Linked DNA regions of Drosophila melanogaster. The protein of the gene in region 1 interacts with the protein of each later gene in a pairwise test. Each region holds a gene or a part of one and is shown in the gene's direction. Other genes may lie near its edges.

Region 1 (9,760 bases):
CGACCCACAATATCGTCGAATAACAAACGAACTAACGAACTTTGACACAGTCCAAAGCCGCAGAAATTTTGTTGCCTACTTTGGGGGGCACACACAACTTTTGCATCAAAACAAAAAAAGCCGCAAACCGAAAACAAATTTCCATACATGCACTTTCCGTAGAATCCCTTCGTATGTGTCGCATTTTGCTTTTATTTCTTTTTTTTTTGTTTTTTAATTTTTTCCTCTAACCAATTTCGGATTTATATATACTCTTAGTTGGGCAGTTGCGGCTGGATTTCATTCTGTGCTCGAAATTACCATTTTTTGTTTTGCTGCTGCTGCCTGAATTTCAAATGCCGCAACTTTTGCATTACCAAAACAGAGCTTAAGGCGGTTCATTCGGTTGAGGTTTAGTTACGGAGGGTTGGTCGATCAGTTCGCGGCTAACACTACACCAAAGTTGGCCAAGTTTGGCCCGCATTGTTGTAATGACGACGAACAAACTCGAATTTCAATACCGAAATACTTTTATTAATTGGCCCAAAACTTTTGCACTCCCCATCTTGTGAAGCGGCGGATGTTGTGTATGTTGGAAATTTACATTTAATTAAATATTTCAATCTGAATTCAAACTCGCCCCCATTTAGGCATTGTTCGTGGCTTATCCAACATCCAATGGCCCCTTCGTCATTTGGTCATTTGGTCATTTGTGGCCGGTCCTTGGCTCGTTAAGCCAAGCCATTTAATAACCACAGGTCCTAAGCCCGGAATTCGAATTGAAATGCAAATCCAAAAGCCATATCAAATCGAATCGATTCGATTCACATCGAATCGAAGGGCAGGATGGCCGGCAATTTGAGTGAGGACATTGGATAATTGGAGCTGCACTGGCACATAAATCAACATTGCCGCCGCAACTGGACGCAACTCAAGCGAGCTGACTCCCGACCCTCAACTCAAAGGGCTCCAATTGAGAAGCAAATCATGCACTGGAAACAATTGATGGCGCCAATGGAAAAGTGCATAAAAGGGCTGTCATAACCCCGCAAAATGAGCTGGGCCAGGGAGGTCAGGGAAACAAAGCAGAGGAACTCAGTACAAATATTTGACCAAAATGCGTCAAGTTCCATGCGATGGCCAAAACGATTCAAGTGTGCGTCGAAGTGATGACGACTTGGCCATTATATATTTCACTGAAAATTAAGTCACTTCAGTTGCATATATTTTTTAATGAAATATTACGATTTAGCTTAATTTTGGTATTATTGGATTAAGCTACTTAAAGCTAAGCTATAGTAACTTTTTTAATCCTGCAAGTTAGCATATTAAAACTATTAATTTATAAAAATTATTTGCTTAGAACTTAAGTTAGCATATTTCCCCCATAATGACAACACTAACTTTCCAAAGCATAAGCATCCTTTTAGTCGAGGTCGAACCAGGATTTTCGTGACGGTGACGTGAGCAGCCAAGTATTTGCGCCCCGAAAAGCGTCAAGAAGGCAAACGCCAAAATTTGTAATTCCCGATGGGAAATTTAATAAAGCAGCGGAATGCAAAGCTCGGCCGGCCACATCAAAGCATGTCCTAGGTCAGGAGTCCTTTGGCCTCCCCCCCCCTCCCCCCCTTACCACACACACACACACACACACCTTTGCACCCCTTAAACCAGCATAGGAAATTCCGGCATTAGGCTTATTTAAATTTTATTGCATCTATGTTGGTCGATTGCTAAGCTAGGAAGTATTGGACACTAAGGCAGCCGGAGGACAGGACTAGAATCCTAGGCAGCAGCTGCTCCTGTGGGACTGGCGGTGGCGGCCAAACGGGCCTGCCACTCGTCATCGATGGCCTTCAGCTGGTTCTTGGCCGTGGTCAGCAGAGGCTTGACACAGCGTATCTGCAGCCAGGGCAAAGTGGCGTTGTTGCAGCCACTGATCGACTCCTCCGAGGTGGCCACCACATCCAGGACGCGCTCCGCCAGGTCGGCGGGAAAGTCAGGCTGGGAGAGCAGACGCTCGGCTTCGCGTTGCAGGACTATCGACTGGAAGAATGAGGAAATCGAGGCGCCTCCAAAGGGAGCAGACGGTGCCACGGGAGCGGCTACACCGGCGGCAGCTCCTGTGCCAGCACCTCCGAAAATTCCATTTAGGAAGGGATTAAAGGCAGCCGCATACGGATTGGCGGCGGCAAAGGGATTTCCGGCAAGGGGATTTCCAACAGTAGCTCCAGGGCCCTTACGAGTAAATTATGATAATTCGGTTACATAATAATCCACTTAATGGGGGGGCCCATATCCACAACTCCTCACCTGTGCACTGATGCAGGCAATGCTGGCCGCCAGTAGAACAATTGCGAATTTCATTTCTTTTAATTTATCTGAGTTCACTTGGTTCTCAGTCGTTGGGTTTCGTCTAGACTAATTGCCAAAAGCACAACGGCTTGCGGCTTTTATACGCCATTAAAAACACGGCAGGGAGATCTTATCTCTGATATCTCAACTATTACTACTGCGATTGAACTGATTTACATGTTCATTGTTTGTTCGGTGGTGCTAAGTACCTCTCGGGGGTTATCTGTTCAGATAGAGCCAGAATATATAAAAAAAAAAAAGGTGGTAAAATTGCTACTTCATGCTGTGAACGTCACTGGTTTTTACGATGCAAATGGGGTTTAATTTTTGCCTGGGATATATTTGCCACCTTCTAGAAAGATAAAATTGACTGCTGTGCTACTGGTTATTTTGCGCACAGTTATTTTGGTAAACAGGATAAACATGATATTTTCTTATCCATTCTGAGTCATTCCATTTTTATCTTAGCGTAACATTCATCAGCAGTTATACAGCTTTATTTTTGCTGAGTACGTTTTCTATCAATATAATATATTTATGTATTGTAATGTTAGAATTTTACGCGCCAAACTGTTATTCTAATCTAACAGCTATTCGATTAACAGCATGTACAAGGACAGAGCAAATACAGAGACCGACAGTGGGACCGACCATATTTATTCTAGTCTAATAATTCTGCCAATCAACATAGATTTCAAATTCAAATTTATAATGCATTAACATTATAAGTATTAGATATTAAATGTAAGATATTATGTTAACTGTTTATGTGCTTCTGGCTTCTTAATATAAAATATATATATTACTTTAATTTTTAATATTGTTTTGATATATATATATAACTATCTAATACCCCCCTGCAAAGAAATTAAATGAAAATGTTAAGTTGTACCTCACATCTTTAACATATGCCTAGAGATGAGCGTATCCCGTGTATGTCCGTTGTTGTATGCGAATGATTTTGGTATTTTACGAACCACCGGTCACACTGAATGTTTTTTAACAGAATTATCGATAGTCCCGCAGCTCCAGTGGCTTAGTGCCGTTGAAAATTGTTGTACACAGTCAAGATATTGATTTTTGCGAGCCGAGAGGAAAACGCGACCCCACAGCCCCCGCCCCCTGTGCGCGACCAGTAGTAGTAGTAACGACTCACGGTCCTTCAAACATTACGCAGCCCAAGGTTCTGGAAAAAATCGAAGATTACGAGCAGAGCAACAAAAAAAAAAACGGGGCAGAACGTGCAGAGCAAGCGAAGCGAGTGAAAGTGCCCGCAGTAGTGGTCAGCAAAAGTAGAACTCGAACTCGGGCTACAGTTCACCAAGCCAATTCGAGTTTCCCGACTCGCAGCCTCCACTGAGCGAGCAGAAGAGCCCCGGAAAGTAGCACCCCCAGCGGAGAAGGAACGGAGAAAAGTGCAGTACGCGTAAGTCTTCCAAACGTAAACGTTTTAAAAATAGACACACTCAGCCAGCCAGCCAGCCAGCCAGGCAGTCGGGCAGTCAGTGAGGCAGCCATCCAGTCCATTGATGAAATTGTTGACTTGATGATATTGACATTGAATTTGAAATCGAGTCTCGACTAACCCAACCAACCCGTTCACAGCAACTGCGTCGAGCGCCCCAAGACCAATTTAATCAGAGGAAGAAAACCAGAAGAGACAGCAGCAGCCATGGCTTTCGCCGGACTCAAAAAGCAGATCAACAAGGCCAACCAGTATATGACGGAGAAGATGGGCGGTGCCGAGGGCACCAAACTGGACATGGACTTCATGGAGATGGAACGCAAGACGGACGTCACCGTGGAGCTAGTGGAGGAGCTGCAGCTAAAGACGAAGGAGTTCCTGCAGCCGAATCCAACGGCACGGGCCAAAATGGCAGCGGTCAAGGGCATCTCGAAGCTGTCCGGACAGGCCAAGTCCAATACGTATCCGCAACCGGAGGGCCTGCTCGCGGAATGCATGCTGACTTATGGGAAGAAGCTCGGCGAGGACAACAGCGTGTTCGCGCAGGCGCTCGTCGAATTCGGCGAAGCGCTGAAACAGATGGCCGACGTCAAGTATTCGCTGGACGACAACATCAAGCAGAACTTTTTGGAGCCACTGCATCATATGCAGACCAAAGACCTCAAGGAGGTAATGCATCATCGCAAGAAGCTGCAGGGCCGGCGGCTAGACTTTGACTGCAAGCGTCGCCGACAGGCCAAGGACGATGAGATTCGTGGTGCCGAGGACAAGTTCGGTGAATCGCTCCAGCTGGCCCAGGTGGGCATGTTCAATTTGCTCGAGAACGATACGGAGCATGTCTCCCAGCTGGTCACCTTTGCCGAGGCACTATACGATTTTCATTCGCAATGCGCGGATGTCCTTCGAGGCCTGCAGGAGACACTGCAGGAGAAGCGCTCCGAGGCGGAGAGCCGGCCACGCAACGAGTTCGTGCCCAAGACGCTGCTCGATCTGAACTTGGACGGCGGTGGCGGCGGCCTCAACGAAGATGGCACGCCGTCTCACATTAGTTCGAGCGCCTCGCCGTTGCCCTCGCCGATGCGTTCGCCCGCCAAGTCGATGGCCGTAACGCCGCAGCGCCAGCAGCAGCCCTGCTGCCAGGCCCTCTACGACTTCGAGCCGGAGAATCCCGGCGAACTGGCCTTCAAGGAGAACGACATTATCACCCTGTTGAATCGCGTCGACGACAATTGGTTCGAGGGCGCGGTGAATGGCCGCACCGGTTACTTCCCGCAGTCGTATGTTCAGGTGCAGGTGCCCCTGCCCAATGGCAACTAGGCTATTCCTCATCCTGTTCCTCGTATTAATCCCGATCCCTAAACCAATCCCATCCTATCAAACTGGCTGAAGACGTACGTAGATCGCTGATTGGAGAACAATAACCTTAATTGTTGGTTTCGCCACCAGAGGCGCGAAATTGGGCAGCCCAAGCCGATGCAGAAGCAGGAGCAGCAGAAGCAGCAGCAGCAGCACATAAATGCAAATATATATATATAGTTGAATTAGATGAGCGGGTTACTACGATTACGGATATTACGATACGGCTTAGCTAGCAGCACACAGCAGGCTAAATTCATGGTGGCCATAGAGCAAGCTAACTAAATTTTATGTGCAAAATTATACCAGTTGGCAACACAATAATTAACAAATTAACTACGAGTTAAATTAATGTACGTATTAACTAACTAAATTTACAAGACGTTACGCGCGCAATGCCACTTCCTTGCGTTTTTACCTTTGATTCTCAAACGTCAGCTTTGTTGTTCGTTGCAAGTTGCGAACATTTAGTACTACTTCACACAATAGATCGATCACGTATTAGAACAGTTGGTCCGGCGGCAGAAGCAAACAGAAAAACACTCTAGCTAATTAACTAAATTACCCGTGTAATCTTAATCACGCCCATGGAGGCGCGTCTCTTTTGTCTTTCCACCTGAGTTCTTCTAGCCTCCAGTTTTCGGAGGTCTTTTTATCCGGTCTCATCGTTGTAATTTAAACCAACCTACGCCAATGCGCTCTCTATGCAAATGTCCCTTTATAGGCTAAAGCTACGTATCCACACCATACGCCCGCCCACATGCATATACATATTTATTATATACCCGAAAATACCTACATATACCTACTCTACCTACGTATATTTGTGCAAAAACAATACTCCCCACACTCTATTCTAAAAGGCATACGGAATACCGTTCTTGATGTTCGTTGTTCAATGTAAAGAATAATTCAATTCAATTTTTCGAGGATGAAACAAGCGAAATTTGTATCCTACTTTTTGCTCCTTTTTATGTGTGTTGTTTTTTTTGTTTGTTAATTATATACATAACAACTATATATATATATATTAAATGAAATCAAATATATGTATAAATATATTTATTAAGCGTATTATCTACATGTATATTTATTATTATGTATTTATTATAAATTATACTGAGCAGCAACGTAAACAATATAATGAATATTTAAACGATGATAACAGATAAAAAGTACTAGCGGCAAGTAAATGTAACAGAATCCTCCTAAACAATACCAACCAACAAGCATAATACTAGTTAAACGATTTCCACAAAAATGTTGATAATAATAACTTTAAACGTAAGCAAAATCCAGTCAAGTCAATCGAAGCATAGCAACACTTACGAACCTACTAACGCGTTTACCAACCGCAACTCTAGATCAAATATTTATATATTTAACGAGATAATAATAAACATTCGACGGCAAACCGATAAAATGATTCAAAATAGTCTCATGTTGGCATACAGCTATGCACGATATACATACGAATGTATATACATATATATACTCGTACGTTTAGGAATGATATACACAAGATACATATATATTTACGTATGAAGAAAACCATTGAATTGAAAGCCATGCAACTTGTGTTGATAATAAATTTGTTAAATGCCAAGAAAACATTTAACAGAATTATATATTCGAGTGCGAAGATGAAACATTTGCCTCGTGGACGGACAGACTGCCAGTGCGAACATTTCCAGAGGATACCCCATCTGGGGAGGATCCACCCATCGCCTGGAGACTATCTTTCCACGCGATACACACTTGCCCCACGTGCAGCGGGGCCCGAACTTCAAACAATAATTATTGTAATTTTGCATTTTTGTGTGGGCGGTAACTTGAATAATATATATTACAAGGCATATACATAATAATAATAACTATGCTAAAACTGAAGACCCTAATTTATGCAAACCAAAATTAATAAAATTTAATTTTTAATGTGTCTTTCGTTCAAAGTCATAACTGAGAAACAACAAAAAAAAAAACAAGCAAACGTCGTTTACTCTTTGATATTTCCCATCTGACCTTAAAACCATAAAACGTGCTGCCTGTTGTGTAACACAGAGACTCGAATGCTGCTGGGAATGGGTGGTGGTGGGCGATGTGGGAATCCGGAGGCGCCACCAATAAACTACAACAGAAGCATTGAAATTTTCGATTTTCCACACACAGACACAGGCAGCCGCCAGCACACCCTCCCCTCCCCTATCCCACTGACCCAGTGGGCATGACATTGAAACGTGACGCAGCATCCAACCCCTGATGCCCACGCCTCCAGTCCAAAAAGTGGGTGAGGTCATGCTGCCAGGACACGAGTGTTTGCCAGTCTGGGCTGATGCAACCAATTCAGTCAGTGGGGGAATCTTCAGTCTTCTTTCTTTGCCAATTCTGTTGGCTATTTTTTTGGCATTGCGCAGGTGAAAATCAAGGCAATATATTTTTATCTGTTTGTTTGTAAAAAGCAATTAAAGTTTTCCCTTAATGTAAACTTGGAAATTTGTTCAAAGAACATACATATGTACATACTCTAAACAAATGCTTAATTCTTATGATTACCATTGCTTTTGAAAACATTGATCTTTTTATTAGCCATGCTTAAAGATTAGCAGCTCGCTTCAAAGTTAAACAAAGTTTATTATTGAAAGTATTGTATGTTACTTTTTTTTTATTATTTTAATAAGAATATACATTAATATAATATTATCATTTCTACCTTTTGCAATTCCTATTTGTATGACCGCAACTGTAACGGCATGTGAAGTGAAAAACATTGGCATGGTTGAGTTATCAACCATTGGACATGCGATAAGACAACACACCCAATCTATTGAATACTCTTAGTCAGACCTACGAGAAGACCACATACTCCTCATACTGACCGAGAATCCTGCGCTTGGGCCGCTGCAACGCCTCGTGGCCCAAGGTCAGACAGACGGGCTGATCCTTGTAGACGCCCTGCTCCTGGAGCACAGCGTGCGGAGCACATCGCCAGGGATCCTTGGTGGCTACCTGCCAGTCGAACAGTTGCTCGCGTAACTGCTTCAGGGTGCCATTGTACTTGGCCTTATCGGCCAGATTGAAACGCTCCAAGGGATCCGTCTTAATGTCGTACAGCTCCCATTCGGGTCGCTGGTAGTACTGCAACAAGGAACGATACCATGGCAGAGTTTGCTTCCTGAGAGTGGCATTCAATATCTGCTGGAATGTGGGTGAAGTGTAAAAGTCCTGGTCGATGGGGAAGTCTGCCCAGTAGTTGATATTATGGATAAGCTTGTAGCGCCTATTGCGCACCATTCTCATGGGATAGGCCATGGTCACCTCGTGGTAACTGTGACTACCGAACACCGAATCGCTCTCCTTGATCGGAGGTTCCTCCCGCAGTACTGGGAGTATCGATCTGCCAACGATTTTGGTGTCATTCGGTCGGGGAATCTGAAGAGCATCCATTACACTGGGGTATATATCCAAAAGACTGACCATGGCAGCAGTGGCTTCATGATGACGATCCTCCTTATTGGGAGAGCTAATGATCAGGGGCGATCGTATGCCGTGCTCGTAGAGATTGGTTCTGCCTCCGGGAAACGGTGGTCCATTGTCGGAGGTGTAGATCACGAGTGTCTGATCTGCCACGCCGGCTGCTTCTAGCTCCTTCAGCATTAGACCAACTCCCTGATCCAACCTCGAGATGGTCATGTACTGAGCAGCCAGCTCCTGACGCACTACATCCGTGTCGGGCAGCCAGGCGGGCACGTCCAGGTTACGCCAATCGTAGTAGATGGGCTTCCAGTCGGGTATGCTGCCCATTCCCTCCTCTCCGCTGCCCCAACGCTCACAGAATTCTCCAAACTGCGGGGTGATGTGGCCACAACGATGGGGATCATGGAAGCCGACCATCAGGAAGAAGGGTTTCTTTTCGTCCTTGGCCTGCTTGAGAAACTGCCTGGCATACTCCTTCATCCGGGTGATGTTTCTGCCAATCTGGTTGATGGAATGCTGCTCCTCTGTTTGCTCGAAATCGAAACGGAAATTGTTGGCGGCCCCAACATGTTTCTTGCCAATGATGCCGCTCAAGATCCGTCCGCCACTTTGATCACGGATTAAATTGGGCAGCGATCCGGTATCCGGAAGAACATTGAAGTTGTGCACGCCCTGATGGAGTCCATACATTCCGCTGGAGTGACCAGCCTGGCCGGTGAGCAACTGCGAGCGACTGGGACTGCAACTGCTTACCGAGGTGAAGGCGTTGTTGAAAAGCAATCCGCGTTTTGCCAGTGCGTCCAGATTGGGAGTTTGGCAGAATTTGTTCAGATAGGCGCCCGATTCGAAGCCGGCATCGTCAGCCAGAAGCAGCAGGACATTCTGCGGGCCAGCGGAGCAACCAGCAATTAGCCATAGTGTAAAAATCCACTGCAGAAATTGCATGTTGACATAAATCCAGTTCCAAATCCAAATTAAATATATTTGAGAGCGCAGAACAAAGCGATTCTTCAGTCGACGTCAGCGTACTGAAGTACGGCTCAAGAGAGCCGCATACTTTTAAGTGTCCACAAAGCCTCTCATTTCTCCGTTCTCCGTTTAAGACGCATTCAATTCCATTCCCAGTTCCAG
Region 2 (7,881 bases), on another chromosome or scaffold:
ATTTACTCAACTAACAACTGAAACTGCCATTTATAATATTTGTAAAAATTCATAAAATTAGTTAATAAAAAATCAACTATGATATATATTTTTATATATACATGTTTAAAAAGAAACATATTTGGTAAACAAATATTTTCTTTTGTTATGCATTTAAATAGTGCATAAGATATGTAATTCATGGTTAACCCCTCGTTTATAAACCAAATTTGTAGAACACGGATAAACTATAGATGCAGTAGTAAGTCATTATATATACGAAGTCTTGTCTACTACAAGCTGTGTAAAGATAATATACATGTATTTATAATTATATAGTATGTATATAAAAAGCTTTAAAGTGTCATAAATAGTATGAACATTGGCACATATATATTTTTAAATGAGTCATAAAATGCGCATTTTTAGTGCTCTCAAAACTACAAGAATGCACTAAAATGTTAAGCTCGCTAATTAAAGCTGCCAATGCCAATTTGGGCAAAAACCAATCAAAGAACAGCTATGACCACAATGACCCTCGAGTCAAGAATGCCCAAAAAAAGGGGCGAACCGAGAACATCTCGGCCATTGGCCAACAGACGGGGCAAATTTGAACTAATCGCCCAACTGGGCCCCAGCCCAACCGATCGGATCGAGCCATCATTAGGGCGGGGAGGGGAGTGGGGGAATTGGGTGGCATAGGGCCAAACTTCTTATAGAGGAGGGTCGATGATGGCGAACGGAGCGACCACCGTTAGGACGGATTCGGATTCTGATTCGGAGCCAAGACTCAAGCATCGGCATTAATATTTCATGTTTTTCCGTTGCTTAAATCATGTTAGATTTATTCTGCGCCGCATTCAGCTGCCGCTTGCGCAACAACAATCAAGAGCTAACTGGTAACTGGTAACTGGTTGGTGGTTCTGCCAACCAGCTTACTAGCAGCTTGCAGCTAAACTTGGCTAAAACACCGTTGGTTCTAACGTGAACGCGAAATGTGTGCCTCACCGTTGTAAACTTCTTGCGGCGGCTGTTGCCTCATCATCTATTGCAAGTCTGTGCCGATTCTAACCTGTTTTCTCTGCAGAAACTCTCCGAAAAAGTCCCGTAAGAAAGTCCCAGTTATTCAAGAGGAAAAACCTGTTACACGCAACTGGCTCAGAGAGCTGATTGCCAAGAAAATGGAGACGGAGAAAAGCAAAGAACAGAACAGAATCAAAAAGAAGCCAGCGTATAGCCACAATAGCAGCAGAAACAGCAAACACGTTAGTACCGTTGCCTCGGATTCTTTGTTGCGCAACTGTGTTGCAAGATTAGCTGCGACTTCCAACTGGTTTATTGCAGCCCCACTGTCGATGAGGCAACAGTTGGCCGGGCCATTACTGTTGTTCTGCCTTGAAGATGTGGTAAAATCTTTTGGCTAGAATCGGAAATCCAACGGCGAGACTGGCGGAGGTGCTGCATTGCATGTCTTGCAGCTTGACTGCATATCCCATCCATTTGTTTGCGGCTATTGAAAGCCGTTGCCTTTTATAATCAATTAGGTTTTTTTTTTTAACTTTTCGCCAGCCTAATGATTCCAATAGTCGCCTATAGCCAGGCAAGGCTGATTTTTGAGGCGAAATATCACCAACCAACTATTTTGATTACCAGAGAAACTCTGTTTCAAAACTAGCAAACTCATAAGACCTTTAGCAAATCTATTACAATGCTTGAAAACAATTTATGGAATTATTTGTCATCGTGTTTGGTTCTAAAGAGAATTAAGACCCTATTCAAGTTATATTCTATATAAAATTATTTTTTTAATTCCCTCTTTGTTAAAATTTGATCCTTTTCAAAAGTATTATGTATTCCATTCCTTAATTATAAAATCATCTAGACATAAATCGATTTATTGTAAGAACTTAAATATATCCAATAGTTAATAAAGCTTAATATTTTAGGAATATCATAGCTACTCGTGGTCTTATGTTTAGTACTCCCCATTCTCACTAACCTCTGATGGTGCTGGGCATGTTATCCGGGTTAAGCAATCTCATCAATGGACATGGACTTTCGTTCAGACACCCAAATCGGATCAGATCAGTGTCAAGGCCTTGAACTCATCTCCCGGCCATGAGATCATAATAGCGATCGTAAAATCGGCGAATTAGTTCGAGTCCCAGTATTGTTCTCGGATCAAATAGTTTTCAAACGGCGAAGTTAGCCGGCGAAGGCGATGATGAAGCCGGCGGAGTGGAACGGATCAGAAAGGAGAGCAAGCGTAATCGGGACTGGTAGCGATCCGATGAGAGAGCCCGGAATCCGAGTGGACTGGACTGGACGTGGGGACAAACGATTGCACACTAAATGGCCAGAGACCGAGTCAAAGACCCGTTGCATCCGATGATCATGATCGCGCTCATCATCGTGGTCATCATCCTCTGCATCGGCGGTGGAATCATCATCCTCTGGCGGGAACCTGTGTGCGGAGGCGAGTGGGAAACCAAGCAAGCTCCAAAAAGAAACAGAAACAGAAGCTCAGCCGAGAAAGGAGAAAGGAGCTGCAAGATGTTCCCACCTCACACACGCACGCGCTCACCAACACACCTGCAGAAGGGGCGCTCACCACAATTCCTGCTAATTAAATGCGTGATCACTGCCCAAAAATAATCGCGCAGCAACCGAAAAGCTACAGTCCCGCCTTCCTACAAAGGATTTTATAGAAGTCATTCAATAAAAAGTACACCAAAGCAAAAAAAGATTTCTGACATTTAATCATTTTTAAAATTCGTCAAAATAATGATATATTTGCATGTGAAGTTTAAATAGGCTTATAGAAAAACCGATTAGCTTTTCTTTGAATAAAATTTTCCATGGTATCTTTTAAAAATAACAAAGTTTTAAAACCCCTACAGCATGAGAAGAGAAGATATAAAATACTATACTAAAATATCGATTTATGGAAGTTGGCCTGTATGGGCTGGTAACAAATACACATGCCAGCGGAGTCAAGCGTGCATTTCATCAGAGATGGGATGTCCGAAAGTCCGAGAGTCTGACTGTTATTCCCAATGATACACGTAGTGCTCGGTACGAAGAGTTGGGGACCGAAGCCCGTGACGTTGCTCGGCAAGTATCTGTGTATCTTTGGGGCCCGTCATCGGATCGCAGCGCGCTCAGTTGCACCTTTAATCGCTGAGCAAACAGGAAGACTTCTACGGCAAACACACACACATGCCCACTCGCACACACACTCGCGCTGTGGGATGAAAAGGGGAAAGGCGTAAGAGGGGAAAAACAGGTTGAGAAGTACCGCTAAGCAGAGGCCCCAACTTTCCGAGGTCAACGAACGTTCTTAGCGCTCAAGAATGAAGGAATCAAAACACACCAAAAAATACAGAGCGAAGAAAAGAGAGCGAGAGAGGTGCTGAGAGAGAGTAAAGAAAGCACAAAGAGAGAGAAAGCCAAGCGATCGACTTAAGAGCGCGACAGGTAAGCGCTGCAACCAAAACCAAGAGAGCCAATCCGAATACGAAGAGAAAGAAGACAGTATCTTTTATTGTGTTTTTGTATGCACATGCACTTTTGAAACGAATTTATCTGTTGCCCACAGCTAAATGAAAAAGCTCACAAATTGTGTATTTTTAGCCGCAGATTTAAAAGAACAAAAAGGGAGAGAGCGGAACAAAAGCCGCATTGTAACTGTCTGTCTCATGACCAAAAGAAACCGAAATTCTTATTCTTATTGCTCAATATTTGGTAATACACACTCATGGATACAGATATAGATACAACTACAGATACATGTGCATTCGACGTGCAAAAGCCATTCAATGTAGCGGTATTTTGTCGAAATTTCCTGAGTCTCGAGACGAGTACAAAGCTCATTGACCTCATGCTCTCCCTCTTTCTTTCTTCTCTCTTGTGCCTTCTGCCCCATTCCCTTGTAACAAGTGTGTAATGAGCGGGGAGGGGGGACTGATTTGCTGTTTCTGATATTTTTTGGCGTTTTAAGACGGGCTTCCAGCCAACATAAGATTCGAACATTTTCGGCTTTTATGCCTTCCTGTGCGACTCTTCATATTCTTCGTTTTCCCTGGGGAATTTCGTTTAAATCTGGCCAGATGGGGTATTTATCAGTAAGCCCACACAACTTAGAAAATGAGGGACGTATTTAGCTGGCAGCCTGTTGATGCCATTTGCGTCTACTGCAATCCGATTGGTCAGTGGATTTGTTTCCCTACCGAAGGACACCTCTTTCCATTGGCTGTTGCTTCCCCCTCTCTCTCTCCCACTCTCTTTCATCCTGCGTCGTGCTCAATGTCCTTTTGTATTTAAACCGCCTGTTGCCGATTTATATGCTCTTTCTCTTTGAAAGGAAGTATTCGTAACCAAAAAGATAACACATTCATAAAAATGTTGATAACTACACGTAATACTTTTAAGCTCTTGACGTTTTGTGACTCATTGCCTCTATATTTCATAATGAATAAGAAAAATTACATTAAATTATCAATTTATTTTTAAAAGTTATTCATTTTAAGAAGCCCGAATTTTAAATAAATATATACTTATATAATAATATATATATTAGAAATAATAAAACTTATAAAATAATAAATATATAATCATTACAGTAAAGACTTTTAGGAAGACATCCTAGAAGAGTATTCAAAGTTGTGCACCAATGCAAACGCTTTGCTCTAAGCTTATTGTTGTCATCACCCATTTTAGGAAAATAGCCATCCTGCTGTTTAATAGCAATTTCATTTGGATAGTCCTTCGTTTTTGCATCGGAGAACAAACAGTATCCGGGTATAAATAGGTCCTGTTTGAGTCCGATTCCATTCAGTTGGACTTTGATTCGAGTCCTGTGCGTGTCAAATTGAAATCTATTGTAATTGTGCGTATATAACTTGGTAGTAAAATATTCCCGAAATATATAAAAAATTTTGAAATACTATAATTATTGTCCAGAAGATTTTTAAATAAGTGTTTGAAGAAAGTGTTTAGCTTAATCTCAATATATTTATTATAATAAAATTATTTTAAGTATATAAATAAAAACTAATATCTGCTGTAAATGATTAATAGCCATATAAAATGTAACCAGATTATCTTGTAGTTGTTTGAATTTTCTGTGATAATTTCTAATGAATGCTAACATATTTTTTAAATTCCCTCGTTATTTACAAATGCTTAAAAAGCCACAATGTTGCTGTTCTATGACTATCAACATTATTTGTGAAACGGCAAATATTTAATTCGATTTCGATCGATGAATTTCAGTTCATGTTTCCATCGTTCTAAATGCATGACAAAATGCAGTTGGAGTATGGGTGCACACACTGCAGATCGTTACAGATATAGTTAATTTGCGGTATTTAAAATATAATCAAGCAATGCAAGTCAGCAAGCATAAACAATTAGAGGGTGCTTTCCAATTTAAACGGAATTTTGTTGGAAATCAGCTGGCAATCCGAGCGCATCCCCCTTGGTTACACCCCTAATGTCGTGCTGCCTATGGGATGGCCAATTAGGGAGCTCCGTGTGTTCCAACAACTTGCCAACACATCCCACAGCCAGATCGGATTTGTAGTGCAGCCAACAAGCTAATTGGTTCCGGCCAGGTCTATAAAAGCCCGGCGCTATCCCAAAAGCCCTAGTTATAGGATAAATATTATCACGGCCGCAATTAGGTAACCATCCATCGGATTCGAACCCTTCCAGTGCCCGAGGTGCACCAACTAGGTGTTTTCACAGCTGTTAGCGTTTTCATAGCTTTTCCAAGCGCTTTTCTTGTCATTTCCATTTCCAGCGAACGCCAGAAGCCCCACAACATCGGAAGTGCACAAGTTTCTATTCCATTATATTGTTCTCCGTTGTTTTTTTTTTACTATTTCCCACCAGCGGTCAGACGGTTGACGTTCCCAATTCGGCATTTCAATTTGGCATACGTCCCCGAAAAATGGAGCTAGCCTAGCCAGAGTCCAACAGGATTAGGCCAAACTCATTGCGAAACGAAACGCCTGAAGATACATCTACAAGCCGTGATTGCGTGCGACAATTGCACAGTATTTACGTCAGCATCGGTTAAGTGAGGCGATTGCACCATGGACTTCAAGGAATACCGCCAAAGGGGTGAGTACTGTCCAAATCTGGGCCATAAAATGCACAGCGGCAGACGCGTGTAAGTAAATACCGGATGGAAATCCCATCCAAAGGTCACCACCATATACAATATATTTGATTGGCCCAAGGCGGATTTGTCCCGGCCGTTTGTCTTCGTTCCATGGCCTGTAATTGAAATCCCACACACGGAGAAAATCCCAGCAATGCAGTATCATATTTTCAAATCAATTTTCATTGACATTTTCGAGCTTACATGGCTGCTTTTGTTTAAAGCGTGTGGCAATTATTTATTAGATACTTTAGCTGAACAACTAAATAATTGCAATTGTAAGTTAATTACACACACGTGGTTAACATAATCTACGAATTGTTAGTATATTACATCTATATCCCTTTTGGTTTTATTAACACTTTAACACCTTTCCTAGTCATTAATAATTGTGTACTTTTATTCTAATTAAAATAATTAAATATTTTAAAAAATATTCTATATTAATTAGGGACAAAGACTAAGCAAAATCGCTTGAACTGTATTAAAGTACATTTTATTTACAGGCAAGGAGATGGTCGACTATATTGCAGACTATTTGGAGAACATCCGGGAACGCCGAGTTTTTCCGGATGTCAGTCCGGGCTATATGCGCCAGTTACTGCCGGAGTCCGCTCCGATCGAAGGTGAACCGTGGCCGAAAATATTCTCGGATGTGGAGCGAATCGTGATGCCGGGCATAACCCACTGGCAATCGCCCCACATGCACGCCTACTTTCCGGCCCTCAACTCCATGCCTTCCCTACTGGGCGACATGCTGGCGGATGCGATTAACTGCCTGGGATTCACCTGGGCGAGCTCGCCGGCCTGCACCGAGCTGGAGATCATAGTGATGAACTGGCTGGGCAAGATGATCGGTCTGCCGGATGCCTTTCTCCACCTGAGCTCCCAAAGTCAGGGCGGTGGAGTGCTGCAGACCACTGCCAGTGAAGCTACTCTAGTTTGTCTGCTGGCGGGACGGACTCGGGCTATTCAGCGATTCCATGAGCGACATCCTGGCTATCAGGATGCGGAGATCAACGCCCGGCTGGTGGCCTACTGCTCCGATCAGGCGCACTCCAGTGTGGAGAAGGCGGCGCTCATTGGTGGGTTTAATCTAACTAACTTTATAGTTATTGATTGTTAGGTGATCCTTTAGTTTGATTACATTCCCTTATAGAGAAAACCATTTACACTAATACACCGAAATACGTATGATCCACATTTGCAACTATTCTATCTCTTGGTCGGCACGCTCGACCATAGCCAACTTCATTGTTTAAGCCGCTTACAGTTTAAGCCACACTCCCACTCTTTTGCTCCGCAGGACTCGTGAGGATGCGTTACATCGAGGCGGATGATGACCTGGCGATGCGCGGCAAACTGTTGCGCGAGGCCATCGAGGATGACATTAAGCAGGGCCTGGTCCCCTTCTGGGTGAGTGGCAGTCTGTCAAAATTAATTGGCTCGCCTTCCGCAGCCAGCTGATTCCCCATTCTTGATTCCTAACTCCCAACTGGAAACGCCAGATTCACGACTCCCACTGGAGCCAATTAATACATGTCAGCATTTAAGTGTCCTGCGGTGGTTTATTTTTAGGTCTGCGCCACACTCGGGACCACCGGCAGCTGCAGCTTCGATAACCTGGAGGAGGTGGGTGCTTAGGGAATAATTACAAGAAAATAGGAATAATCCAATGGCCTAAATTAAGTGGCCTCGAAACATCTGCCAGTGATAAACAAAGCTATAATTTATAT

What was found. The genes of interacting proteins can lie anywhere in the genome.
Region 2: the proteins of EndoA (region 1) and Hdc interact in a two-hybrid assay, tested with the Drosophila melanogaster proteins (one large-scale study listed by BioGRID).

The regions. Positions count from the first base shown.
Region 1 is NT_033777.3:18,903,261-18,913,020, forward strand, and holds EndoA (endophilin A), read left to right. Parts: upstream 1-3,348; 5' UTR 3,349-3,760; exon of another isoform or gene 3,761-3,939; 5' UTR 3,940-4,006; coding exon 4,007-5,116; 3' UTR 5,117-5,190; exon of another isoform or gene 5,191-5,245; 3' UTR 5,246-7,495; downstream 7,496-9,760. Other genes in the region: CG14292 (uncharacterized protein), read right to left, coding at 1,765-2,217, 2,293-2,346; Sgsh (N-sulfoglucosamine sulfohydrolase), read right to left, coding at 8,000-9,574. UniProt on the Drosophila melanogaster protein: Required presynaptically at the neuromuscular junction. Implicated in synaptic vesicle endocytosis.
Region 2 is NT_033778.4:10,235,020-10,242,900, forward strand, and holds the start of Hdc (histidine decarboxylase), read left to right. Parts: upstream 1-2,968; 5' UTR 2,969-3,456; intron 3,457-4,812; exon of another isoform or gene 4,813-4,867; intron 4,868-5,849; exon of another isoform or gene 5,850-5,874; 5' UTR 5,875-6,077; coding exon 6,078-6,105; intron 6,106-6,651; coding exon 6,652-7,230; intron 7,231-7,451; coding exon 7,452-7,561; intron 7,562-7,723; coding exon 7,724-7,777; intron 7,778-7,881. UniProt on the Drosophila melanogaster protein: Required in photoreceptor transmitter synthesis. Catlayzes the conversion of L-histidine to histamine.